Daphnia pulex: one gene and its partners. Each later gene encodes a partner of the first gene's protein in a complex. Links are inferred from orthologs where the notes say so. Each region holds a gene or a part of one and is shown in the gene's direction. Other genes may lie near its edges.

Region 1 (2,962 bases):
TAGCTTAGGTCGTGGTGAAGTTAACTGGAGCATCAGTGTAGTATCTGTTCAACGTAGCACTAAAGAGCAGCTTCGGTGTAGCAAGTCGGAACTGCGTAATACTTGGCCGCCTCGGTTGTGGTTGTGTAGATCGGGGCAGAGTAGTACTTTGCCGCTTCGGTGTAGTATTCGACCGTCTTGGTGGAGATCAGCGGGAGCCTCGGTGTAGCAGCTGGGAACAGAGTAGTACTTAATATACTTAATATAGGTGCAATAAGTAGCTGAGAACAGAGTAATACTTGGAAGCCTCGGTGTAGTAGAATGGGGTAGCATGCGTAGTCCTGCTCCGTCGCCTTGGTGGTGTAGTAACTCGGGGCAGAGTAATACTTCAGGGCGTCAGTGTAGTAAATCGGGGCAGCGTAAGTTGTGGTATAAAACTTCGGTGCCTTAGGGGTGTAGTACTTGTAGACCTCGGTGCAGGAACTGGTCGTTGCGTAAGTTGCTTTTGGGTAGTAAAGCGGTGGCGTTGCGGTTTGGTATCCGCCATACCCAGGAGACATCAATACACCAGTGGTCGACCCACCAATCAACGATACAACATCCAACAGCCTTATTATCTAGACATTAAACAATTTCAAACATTATTAATCAATAATAATTTGCATTTTAACAAACAGAAAATAATTGGCATTAATAAAAAACTTTATGTAGAGACAGAATATTTACCCATGGGTGAAGAAGGCAGATGGTGACAGATAGCGCACAGCAGTTGTTGCCGTGTCGGAGATCCTCACTCGACTGATGTCTCTGGCCTTTTTCGTCTCCTTTTTATACGATTTTTTGATCACCCTCACCTCTTAAGCCTTGCGGGTATTGTACCTGTTCGATAATGATGAAACACGTACCTTTCTCACCCAACCTCTCCGCCGTCGCATGATACGTTCTACGTAATGATCTCCGTGACCTTCGAGCGTCAAACTGGCCTTTCCTTCTGCAGTTTGAAGTTGCTGGGGGGTGGGTCGACAAAAACCAATATCAAAATGAATACCAAATGGTTATGGCTTGCAGCTATTTTACCTGTTTGATAATGATGAAACACGTCCCGTTCTTACCCAACCTCTACACCACTGCATGACACGTTTCACGTAATGATCTCCGTGACCTTCGAATGTGAAGGAAATGCAAACTGGTCTTTCCTTCTTTAGGTTGGCGTTGCTGGGGATGGGTCTACAACAACAAATATCAAAATGAATACCAAATGGCTGAGCCTTGCGGCTATTATACCTGCTTGATAATGATGAAACACGTACCTTTCTCACCCAACCTCCACCGCACTGACAGTTTTACACGTAATGTTCACCGTGACCTTCAAGCGTGAAGAACATGCAAACTGGCCGGCCCGTCTGCAGACCCCTGTCAACCGATTTGCCTCTTGACTAGCATGCTCTAGCGGTCTTCAACTCAACCTTTTCTACAAAGTAATATGCAGACGAAAAAAGACCAAAATTAACAGATTCCAAGTTTACGTTTGATCATACCTGTGACAGTGTGACATCATTTATCAAGTTTAGATTTCAGTTTAATTTTATTAAGTGTTATATTCTGTAGTTACAATGGCTGGGTCTGCTCTTCGACGTTTAATGGCCGAGTACAAACGTGAGAATTGTTATTTTTTGTTATTTTTATAACTTATTAGGTATTCCTGTATATTTTACAAATTTAAGTAATGCATATTTAAGTAACCCTTAGCAGTTATTTGATAATGTATGACTTTTTTTAGAACTTACCTTGAATCCACCTGAAGGTATTGTAGCTGGTCCTATCAACGAAGAGAATTTTTTTGACTGGGAATGCCTCATTGTGTAAAATATTTTGATTCATTTTCTGTGCATGATCTTGTCTCACTTTTTAAATACATTGGTGGTTTTTACAATCCATAGGGGACCTGACGGAACATGTTTTGAGGGTGGTGTTTTTCCAGCAAAATTAACATTTCCAACTGATTATCCATTAAGCCCACCAAAGATGCAGTTTACTTGTGAAATGTTTCATCCTAACAGTAATTTAAATAAAAACTTAGTTAAATATAAAAACACTTGTTAATACTCAAGTTGATTTACCAGTCTATTCAGATGGAAGGGTTTGCATTTCCATTTTACATGCTCCAGGTGATGATCCCTTAGGATATGAATCTAGTGCTGAACGATGGAGTCCTGTTCAGAGTGTGGAAAAGATTCTACTTTCAGTCATCAGCATGTTGGCAGGTCCGTATTTAAATTGGTAAACAATCGCCCTTAATTAACCTCTTTATTACAGAACCTAATGATGAGAGTGGAGCAAACATTGATGCTGCAAAAATGTGGCGAGAAAACCGAGCTGAATTTGATCGCATTGCAACTCGAATCGTTCGGAAATCATTGAATATTCCCTTGTAATATGTACAATATAATAAAAGAAAAATTATGAAAGCGGTTGTCCTTTTAAAAAATATAAAAACTCGTCTTCGACATTAATTGTATTTGACAGTTTTGTGTTATGTCGGGAAAACACACTGTATATTATCTATATATTGAAAGGTTATATTAAACTCTATAGATGCACATTGGCAAATGTATCTGTCCAATCGGAGAGAATTTGTAAATTAAATTAGAAATACTTTTTCAATGACTAGAAATGACACCATTCTAGGGGGCAAAGTGGGAATGTTGCAGAGAACCTTCTAGTTGCTCTGAGTAGTAGTGAGTTGTATTTAAATAGTCTCGCAACCGTTTGGGAAGTGGCAACATACTGATTTGATCTCGCCTGATCAACTTCAAAATAACAAATCTAAGATAATTAATGTGTGAATTAAATCAAATTAAACCATGTAGTTTATTTGAAAAATGTACCTGGACAAGTGTTGCAAGCTTTGAACTTGGCGGAATCGTGATACTGGGTGCAACAGCTGAACACGAGTAGGTCCGTGTGTTGGCCTTCGATGAAG
Region 2 (4,183 bases), on another chromosome or scaffold:
TCTTGTGGCGGCGTTCATTAAAACCAAATAACAGGAGAAACAGATGAATTCCTCATGTGAGTAAAGTATCCGCCCCACAGTGTGTGTTCAAACCCAATGGAATTCAATTAACTCACTAATGTTGGGAATTTTTTCTCGGCACGTTTGGGCTCTCAAAGCGTACGTGCGTGTAATGGGAACCAAAATACTGAGCAAATAATTGAAACCGTTTCAGTCCGGTTCTTCTTCATTTATTTTTGTTGTTGGGGTCGCCGAAAATAAATCGTCACACATGTGTGTAGTACACATACTTTCGCATGCGATATCGATCACTTGCTTTATGAAATAAACATTTTTTTTTAATTACATTTCATCTGATCACATATTTCGAGAGCATTGCGGCGAATCAATTTTAAATTACATTTCTCTCGCGCGCTTTTTATCCGCCGTTTTCCCACGGTGATGTTTTGTTTCGTGTTTTTTCACTCCGTCTCGGATCAATATCGAAGGAGACTGGAATACACAAAGATGTGTATACCGCCCTCTGTTCTTTTAAAACGATATCTCTTTTATATTTTTATACTTGTCGTAAACTATAGTTGGACTCTCAGGTGAATCAGCCTTCGTTGCAAACGCCCCACTTACCATTTAAACGACCAGAGTACCTATTTTTTCCAATTCTTTTTATTGTATATTAGTTTATTTCTTCTACTGCCGAATCGATATGTTTCTCGGTCAAAGTTTACGACTTTTACGAAAGTAGTTTGAGGGGGGGGGGGGGGCAATGTCGACAATTGCTGGATGAATATTACTTGTAAATGCTGCTACTTCGGTAGCGGAACGAATGCGCCGGTAGGCCATTTTCTTTAGAAAACCATAGCGGCTCTTCTTCTATTTTCAACAACAAAAAGGAAACTTACCTTTTCTATTATAAAATCGGCAATATTATTGGACCCTCGGTCTGAGGTGCGCACTTGCCCAAAAGGGACGCCGAACGTTTCGTTACGGATCGTTCCCAATTTTAACTTTTTTTTTTTGCCAATGTCCAATATCTTTTAGTATACTGTCACTACTGTAAATACGTCGCGGAATAATAATACGGGCGCCAGTCCGCATCTTCCATGGGATTTTCTTATATTACTTCATGCTGAACGGATGCTGGTAATTAGCTTATACTGTTCCGCATGCAGGTTGTTTTTTTAGTTTTGCTTTATTCCATGTTATCCCCGGTGTCTTTAGAAAGCGCTGTGGCCTTCGTATCGTTTAATTTCGGGTACCGAAAAAGCTGTTGAAATTGTCAATTGTGTAGCAAATTAATGAGGCCAGACAATTAAAGGACGATGGTCGGGTCTTTTTTAAAATTTGAAACACGTAGTACGGTAGTAGACATGCTGCTGTCTTAAAGAATCGTGGCAAGATACAACTATATTTAAGTTATGATATAATCCGTTCTTTACTTCTTATTAGCGTGATAACAGAGCTTTCTTTTTGGACAAATGGACTGGTCAATATTGACTCGATTCTGACGTCATCAACAAATCGACTGGTTGCTGTTTAGTAGTTCCGACGTATTTGCAGGGGTCTGTTTACGTGTCGATAGTAATGGCTTCTCCTAATTTAGAAGAGTTATTTGAGGATTCAAGGTAAAGTTTCCTCGAATTTTCGTATGACATTCATCCAATTTTCAAACCTCTTTCAGTCTGTTACAAATTTTAAACAGCAGCTTCAATTTTGTAGCTAAGGTCTGACATGAAACTATCGTTCCAAGTAGGTTTTTCGCTATGCAATATGCTACAGGATCTTGCAGATCGATCTAAACATTGAATTTCCGAGATTATCAAGTCCTACTCAGACCTTTTAGTCAGCATAAATTGTCATTGTGTCCATTACAGATTCTTAATAGAAATATGCCCATACAGCAGCAGATGTTATGATTTGCTTGCCTTGGGGCTGTGTGGGATCACGTTCTCTTCCCTTAACAACTTTGTGTTATTACTGTGGTGCTAGATGTGTAATGCGTTATTTTATAATTCTTATTGTTTATTTTTGTCCAGGATCACACAATGGGATTGGACATTGCTGTTGTTGGTATTTTACACCCCTCTAGGGCTGTTGTTGCTAGTAATGAGAATATTTGCTCTCATTCAATTCTATCTCATGTTTCTGTACATGCCATACCAACCTATCAAAAGGTAACAGTCTATACCTCATTTAAAAATAAATATGGCAAACTATCATGACGTTTGACTCCACATGTTCAGGTACTTGTTGAGGGTGTGTGGATTCATGCTGGGCGTCTTTGTGAATGAGAAATACTCAAACAAGGCAGTTGTTCAAGAAAATGCTGTCTGGGTCGCAAATCACTGCAGCCCCTTTGATTCAATTGTGCTTCAAGTTATTGCGGATAAGAAAGGAGTCATCACCACCTTTCCAGAGGAAGAAACAACAACAGCCAAATCAGGACTTCTCAAATTTCAGCTCGGAAGCTTTGAACAACACAAACGAAACAACCCGAGCCTTCCGGTTCAGCCGCTCTCTTTGAGGATTTCACGTCCTTTCCCGTCTTTTGCCATCACAGTTCTTGACAGCCAGTCCTGGACGGATGTGTTCTTCCTCCTTTTCAGCCCCTGCACAATTTTCAACATTAAGTAACGCTAAATTTAACTTTGTTGACTCAAGTATCCAGCGATCCTAATGGCGGTTTTTATTTTAGATTTCTGGAACCGACTCAATGCCGTGAAGATGAAGAACTCGAAGCTTACGTCAATCGGATAGAATCGACTGTCAGCCAAGACCTCGGCGTTACCGTTACATCTTTCACAGCCAAAGACAAGGTGAAGACGTTGCTCTTTATAACTTTGGTCATTCGTTTATAGTAATAAAATGATTTCTCTAGGCTGAACTAATCAAAAGAAAACGATTTGAAGCTCAACCTCCTCGCCCTGTTCAACGACCCAACAATCGATGGCAAGTGATGGCCAGTCAGGTCAAAGAAGTGCTGCCACATGTACCGATGGCTGTCATTTTGAGCGATCTAAGTAAAATAACTAGTTTTTTATTGAATCAAATCACACATTAACGTTTCTATTTTTATTTTCGTACGTAGGTCGCACTAATAGTGTGGATGCCACGGTGGCAAATTTAGTGGAAGGTGTTGTCCCTTTCATTCCCGAGCCTGTCGTGACGAGGGTAGAGAGTGCTCCGTCGGGGCCGTCGTCACAAGCTGGCCCTTCCAACTTTAAACCGTTGGGTGCTTCGTCGCAGTTGCAACAAGTTGCTGCGTCTTCTTTCAGCAAATTGGTTCACGAGCGTGGCCTGTCATTGCAGGAACGAAAACAGCGCTTAATGCGCCAAGCCCAGCTGCGTTACTGTGAACGGCATGGCCTTCAAATATCGGGAATAAATTGCTGAAAATGTCAAACAAAAAAACAACAACAATAACACGCTGTAAAAGATTACAATGCTTCACTTCTCTCCCACCCCCTTCCCGAGATATCTTTCGTTTAGTTTTTTTTTTTTATTTTTTTTTTTTTTGCTTTGTTTTAGACGGTTTCTCTTTCTTTTTTCTTATTCCCTCCAACCTGTATTGTGTTTATTTGTCCAGCGGGATTCAAAAATCATCGTATCTCTTGTACTACCGTCTAAATATTTGAACAACTCACCTATTGAACGCAACCGTCGACACAACCATCTGTACATACATATAGATTTGGATAGATTCAAATAGCTTTTTGGAATTTAGAAATTCAGTCGCGTTTTTCGGTTCGTCAAAATACACACACATCTTATTTGGTGGGAAAAAAACATTGAAAAAGACTCGGTTCTCAAGATAGATCTCGTTAAAAGCCCTTGTCGGATCGTTAGCTCAGCCTTTTGTTTTTTCTCTTTATTCTTCTGTTAAAATAAAAAGAAACGAAACCTTAAAGTTGGAAGTGTGCTAAATGGAGGTCAACGGGAGAGAAAGAAATCGTCTAGACATTTTAGAGCACCTGCCGAGATTGAATAATAGATAATTGCAAGGGGAAAAGAAAGGAGCCATTAAAAGAATCGGTCTGCTTTACAATTTGAAAAAACTTCGGAGCAAAAAAGAGCTTTTACTTAAATTGTCATTTACTTGCGTTGTCCCGAATGGCTGTTCATGATTTTAATTTAATAATAATAAAAAAAAAAACAATTGGAATTTTAAATTTACCGAAACACGGTG
Region 3 (4,264 bases), on another chromosome or scaffold:
CAAAAGAAAAGAATTCCATATTTCTTTACTTGACAGGTTGGAAGGTCGTCTACGAAGAATAGGTCTTAATTCGTCTGAAAAATAATTGGAATGATAGCCAGAATTCGGCTTTGAAGCTATATTACCCATTTAATGCTGGGAGCTGTATAGCGGCGTTTTCCGCAAACATATCTTGTTGAATTCCAATAATCCAAATTTGGCTCAACCAAATAACCTCGCAAATAACAACTTAACACTAACATGATAAACATAAATGTTAACTGCTTGTGAAATGCGTGTTGTAAAACGCTACAGTATAAGAAATTGGAATAGAGCCAAAATGAAAAAAAAAAAAAGATTCTCTTTAAAGTGCAGAGAAAGAGAAAATGAAATGAACTTCAAAAGTCACTTCAATTACTTAGCCATCCCTTGTTTTCGCAAAGTTATTGTTGCTTCATTTATTTATATTGAAGGATTACCACTACATCGGATAAAAGCGAAACAGGGCGCAAATTTCAAATGGAAACCTTGACCTGTCGTGACCATCAGGAGGTACGCGATAAGACTTTGGTATGTAGTGGATTCAAATTGTCTCGAATGTGAACATTTACAGAATTTAACGGTTCAGTTACTTTGCAGAGCTGACGCCCTATTGTAACGAATGTTGAGGACGCAAATCAGGCGTTATAACAGTGCCGTGTGTGTGCAAGGACACCTTCTTCCGGTCCCCATCTGGTACGAAATGACACGCTACTTTTTTCATAACCGCCCAACAAGACGATAAAATCGGCTAGACATGCAGCTAGACAACGTTTTATTTCTGATGTTTCTCCCTTTTTTCTGTCTTCCATCACGCGTTGCCATCAAAGCAGAAATAATAATAGTGAATACATTTTCTTTTCAAGGTTGATTCGGGAGTGCAATTTAGATTAGCGTAATTGAGTACTCTTATGCGTGTCTTAGGGCAGTGCCATAAAACTGAGCATTTTTGGTGCGGGAGAATGTTGCGGAATATTTAGCGAATATATCTCAGAAAATTATTAAGGGATCTTATTGAAGTTGTTTCTGAGTAAAAACAATAAAATCTACTCAGACTTGTGACGTATCTTTTTCATTTTTAATAACAAACCAGTATTCGTCGATCTAAAAACAGATTCAGCCCAGTCCCAGCATCACATGCGTAATGAATAATTGAATATTTATTAGCTTGACTGTCCGAGTCTCCGAGAGCGCAATTCAGTCTACATCTACATTTGAGAACATGTATGCAAAGTTGACATTGAATACATTTTTTCCCCTGGGGATAGCGAGACGAAATCTGCCTTGTAATTTTTGCATATTTTTGACCTTGCTAGAAAATAGTTTGCTGGAACTTTTTGAGGTTGACGCCCAAAACGTCAGTAATTTTTTTTCATTCCGTTTGCAGTGTTTACGTGTACTAGATGCTGTTTAGCCTTACCCGCCTTATCAGAGTTTTGACACATTTTCGGATTATTGAATCATTTGACAAGGCACTTGTTATCGAAATGGTCGTTAGATAACGCAGTGTTATCAAGATGAAATTGCCTTGAATTGCTGTGCTAGCTAATCCTAGTTATTTCTGCTGATGTTTTCAAATGCAATTTTCACCCCAGATTTGTTAGTAGTTTTGTCGTCTTGTGAACCCAATTTTTCTGTGTCAACAACAACAACATGCCTGTCTTACTACTTGAGAGACTACCTCTCCCGAGTTTGGAAGCTTACGCGGTAGTCAGTGTTTCTCTTTTGGGTTTGTCTCTTCACTACGCTGCAGAAAAAACACAAAACCCTGAATGGAGGATGCAATTTGTTAAAACGAATAGCAGCCAAGAGATTCCCAACTCCTTGCAAGCATTTATTTCAAACATCCTGTCTCGTTACTGGCTCAGCTCCAGAGCTCAAGATATTGTGTCATTTTCTATCCATGACAGTCTCTGCATTTGGGTTAGAACATGGCCATCCTATATTATTAGTCAATATCCAACACTTTAATCCTTTTTTATCTTCTATCCTTTACAGATTGTTGTGAACATGGCTTACTGCCTCCTTGTATTATTTGGAAATTGGCTGCAGAAGCAGGTGTTTGGGGAACTAAGAGTTTCTGAACTACAGCACATCAAAGACAAGTTTTGGAATTTTGTGTTTTACAAATTTATTTTTATATTTGGCATTAAAAATGTTCAAAGTATGGAAGGTGTTATATTATGGGGGTCCTGGTTTTCTGTTATTGGCTTTCTACACATTCATGCTCAACTTTGCCAAGACAGATTTGAATATGTAATTGGATTTTATCTTTCTTTTTTAAAAGCTCAAACAGGTATTGTAATTTATCTTATGTTTGGCGAAATTATAGTTATCTATGACTCCATGTACCCCTCGAAATCGACACATCCGCTTGCTTACCCTGCTGGGATCGATTCTGGTGGCATCGGGATTATTATTTTTGATTTGCCTCGCCGTTGGACAACGCGCTGGATGGATTACATTTGCCTTGGTCGCCCCGGAATGTCTTCTCTTGGCTTTACGTACCACCCACGTTATCTTTAGATACATCCTCTACCTGCAGTCTTGTCATCCGCCCATCCATCAGATCTCTCAAGGTTACTTGAGTTGCGCATTCGCAACAGAGACTCTCGATGTGCTCAAACATCTGACGATTGTTGGATCATAGGGTGGAGTCCTTCGTCGTACTACGTGGAATTGGCGGTGGAGATTTCATGCCTCGTTGTGGATTTGGCACATCATGTGAGACGAAATTGCTTTCTGCAATGCGACTGAATTTCGGTAACCCCTTTTTTGTCTCTTTTCGTTTAGATTCACATGCTTCTGCGAGCGAATATGCTGCTCTCTATGGCATCTTTGGTCATTTTCATGCAACTGCGAGTGCTCTACGAACAGCTGTGTGGACGTCTCCGGCGACACGGGAACTACAAACGGTTGCTGAAATTGGTGGAATTGGTTTGTACTCGAGTCGATCTAAAATATCTTAATCTCCCCTTCTTCTGCCAAGTCTCTAGTTTTAATCATTTAGTAATTTATTCTGTTATAATAGTGCTGTCCCTTGGAAACACTCCATTTCGAACTCGAATCTGAATGGGAGGATAACAAATGTGCCATTTGCTGGGAAGCAGCAGCTGTAGCCAGACGGTTGCCGTGTGGTCATCATTTTCATCATGGTATTGATTCATAACAATTAATGAGGCAATCCTTCATCTATCTATACTTGTATAGGTTGTCTGTTGCACTGGTTGGAACAGGATCCTACGTGCCCTACGTGTCGACGCCAACTTTTAGAAGATGGATCGAAAGAAACTGCTTCGTCTTCACGTCCCCGGGAAACTGCAAGTTTTATATCGTGGACGGGCTGGAGTCGACTGTTTCAACAAAACACTGATACTCCGGTAGTAGCAGCTGCAGAAAACTCTCAATTGGAAGCTTTAGCTGATCAGGTGTGACGAAATCTATCATAAAATTCTACTAATTCTTGTTCAACAATTTAAATGTTTATCGTTGTAGGTACTTCAATTGTTTCCCGATTATTCGTTTTCTGTTATCGTTGAAGATCTACGGCAAACTCGCTCAGTAGACTTAACAGTTGAGAATATATTAGAGGGTCGTCTTCTGCCCACACTTCCCAGCTTTCAACAAGAGCCTAGTCTATCTACGTTGCCAACATTCGCCAGGCAAGAAAACCAATTTGATGTTTCCCAGGAACCAGAGAAGCTCTTTGTTGATGATCCGCAAGAAAGACAACACATTCTTCAATGTCGTAAGCATGAATTAATCGCGGAAGCTCGAAATCGCTTTCTTCAGAGACAAGCACTCGAAAACAATTCCACTATCATTGAAAGTTGATTTTCTTGCTATACACGTGTGATTCTAATTTGTTATTGATCCTAAAGTGCGTAAATTATGCATTAGTGCATCTCATAATTCAAAAAACCTGTTTGTATATTGGCAAGGTAAATTATGAGTAGAAAGATAGTGCCTTTTTAATAATTACGAAATACCGCTTCGCTCGACTGGGCGTGGAAGAAAACCCTCTCTATGCCGCAAGCTAGTCCCATCACACAGACGTTCACTGTCAAACAGGGCCTACAAACGTGATTTTACTGATTCACTACCGACGAAGTGAATGCGCAATCAATAGTAACATTTGATTACCAAACATGTAGAGGACGAAATCGGAAATGTGTGACATTTTTTTTCTTCTGAGATTAATAAATCTTTCCCTTAATATCTTGAACAAGAATAGGTGATTTTCTTT

The links.
Region 2: the proteins of ubiquitin-conjugating enzyme E2 G2-like (region 1) and lipid droplet-regulating VLDL assembly factor AUP1-like are in contact, whole or in part, in a crystal structure (PDB 7LEW), measured with the Homo sapiens proteins. The link is inferred for Daphnia pulex from reciprocal best matches to the Homo sapiens genes UBE2G2 and AUP1. Residues at the interface, in NP_003334.2 of Homo sapiens: Tyr13, Thr17, Pro20, Gly23, Ile24, Val25, Ala26, Gly27, Pro28, Met29, Asn30, Glu31, Glu38, Leu40, Met42, Glu45, Glu50, Phe51, Val53, Pro55, Lys156, Val159, Gln160, Ser162, Leu163, Leu165; in NP_853553.1 of Homo sapiens: Ser379, Arg382, Gln383, Leu386, Arg389, Lys390, Leu393, Tyr394, Tyr396, Ala397, Arg398, Arg400, Phe401, Thr402.
Region 3: the proteins of ubiquitin-conjugating enzyme E2 G2-like (region 1) and E3 ubiquitin-protein ligase AMFR-like are in contact, whole or in part, in an NMR structure (PDB 2LXP), measured with the Homo sapiens proteins. The link is inferred for Daphnia pulex from reciprocal best matches to the Homo sapiens genes UBE2G2 and AMFR. Residues at the interface, in NP_003334.2 of Homo sapiens: Tyr13, Leu16, Thr17, Pro20, Gly23, Ile24, Val25, Ala26, Gly27, Pro28, Met29, Asn30, Glu31, Glu38, Leu40, Met42, Glu45, Glu50, Phe51, Val53, Val159, Gln160, Leu163, Gly164, Leu165; in NP_001135.3 of Homo sapiens: Ser574, Ala575, Arg578, Gln579, Met581, Leu582, Arg585, Lys586, Leu589, Leu590, Ala593, Arg594, Arg596, Phe597, Leu598, Lys600.

What each region holds. Positions count from the first base shown.
Region 1 is NC_060021.1:11,411,942-11,414,903, reverse strand, and holds ubiquitin-conjugating enzyme E2 G2-like, read left to right. Parts: upstream 1-1,483; 5' UTR 1,484-1,592; coding exon 1,593-1,635; intron 1,636-1,759; coding exon 1,760-1,841; intron 1,842-1,919; coding exon 1,920-2,038; intron 2,039-2,102; coding exon 2,103-2,243; intron 2,244-2,295; coding exon 2,296-2,414; 3' UTR 2,415-2,447; downstream 2,448-2,962. Other genes in the region: uncharacterized protein LOC124194765, read right to left, coding at 2,664-2,805, 2,868-2,962. UniProt on the Homo sapiens protein: Accepts ubiquitin from the E1 complex and catalyzes its covalent attachment to other proteins. In vitro catalyzes 'Lys-48'-linked polyubiquitination. Involved in endoplasmic reticulum-associated degradation (ERAD).
Region 2 is NC_060020.1:2,338,582-2,342,764, forward strand, and holds lipid droplet-regulating VLDL assembly factor AUP1-like, read left to right. Parts: upstream 1-1,350; 5' UTR 1,351-1,581; coding exon 1,582-1,622; intron 1,623-2,033; coding exon 2,034-2,171; intron 2,172-2,240; coding exon 2,241-2,627; intron 2,628-2,692; coding exon 2,693-2,813; intron 2,814-2,875; coding exon 2,876-3,017; intron 3,018-3,085; coding exon 3,086-3,390; 3' UTR 3,391-3,904; downstream 3,905-4,183. UniProt on the Homo sapiens protein: Plays a role in the translocation of terminally misfolded proteins from the endoplasmic reticulum lumen to the cytoplasm and their degradation by the proteasome. Plays a role in lipid droplet formation. Induces lipid droplet clustering.
Region 3 is NC_060017.1:3,098,028-3,102,291, reverse strand, and holds E3 ubiquitin-protein ligase AMFR-like, read left to right. Parts: upstream 1-1,398; 5' UTR 1,399-1,671; coding exon 1,672-1,941; intron 1,942-2,016; coding exon 2,017-2,274; intron 2,275-2,350; coding exon 2,351-2,597; intron 2,598-2,668; coding exon 2,669-2,742; intron 2,743-2,811; coding exon 2,812-2,955; intron 2,956-3,049; coding exon 3,050-3,173; intron 3,174-3,228; coding exon 3,229-3,446; intron 3,447-3,513; coding exon 3,514-3,852; 3' UTR 3,853-3,880; downstream 3,881-4,264. UniProt on the Homo sapiens protein: E3 ubiquitin-protein ligase that mediates the polyubiquitination of lysine and cysteine residues on target proteins, such as CD3D, CYP3A4, CFTR, INSIG1, SOAT2/ACAT2 and APOB for proteasomal degradation.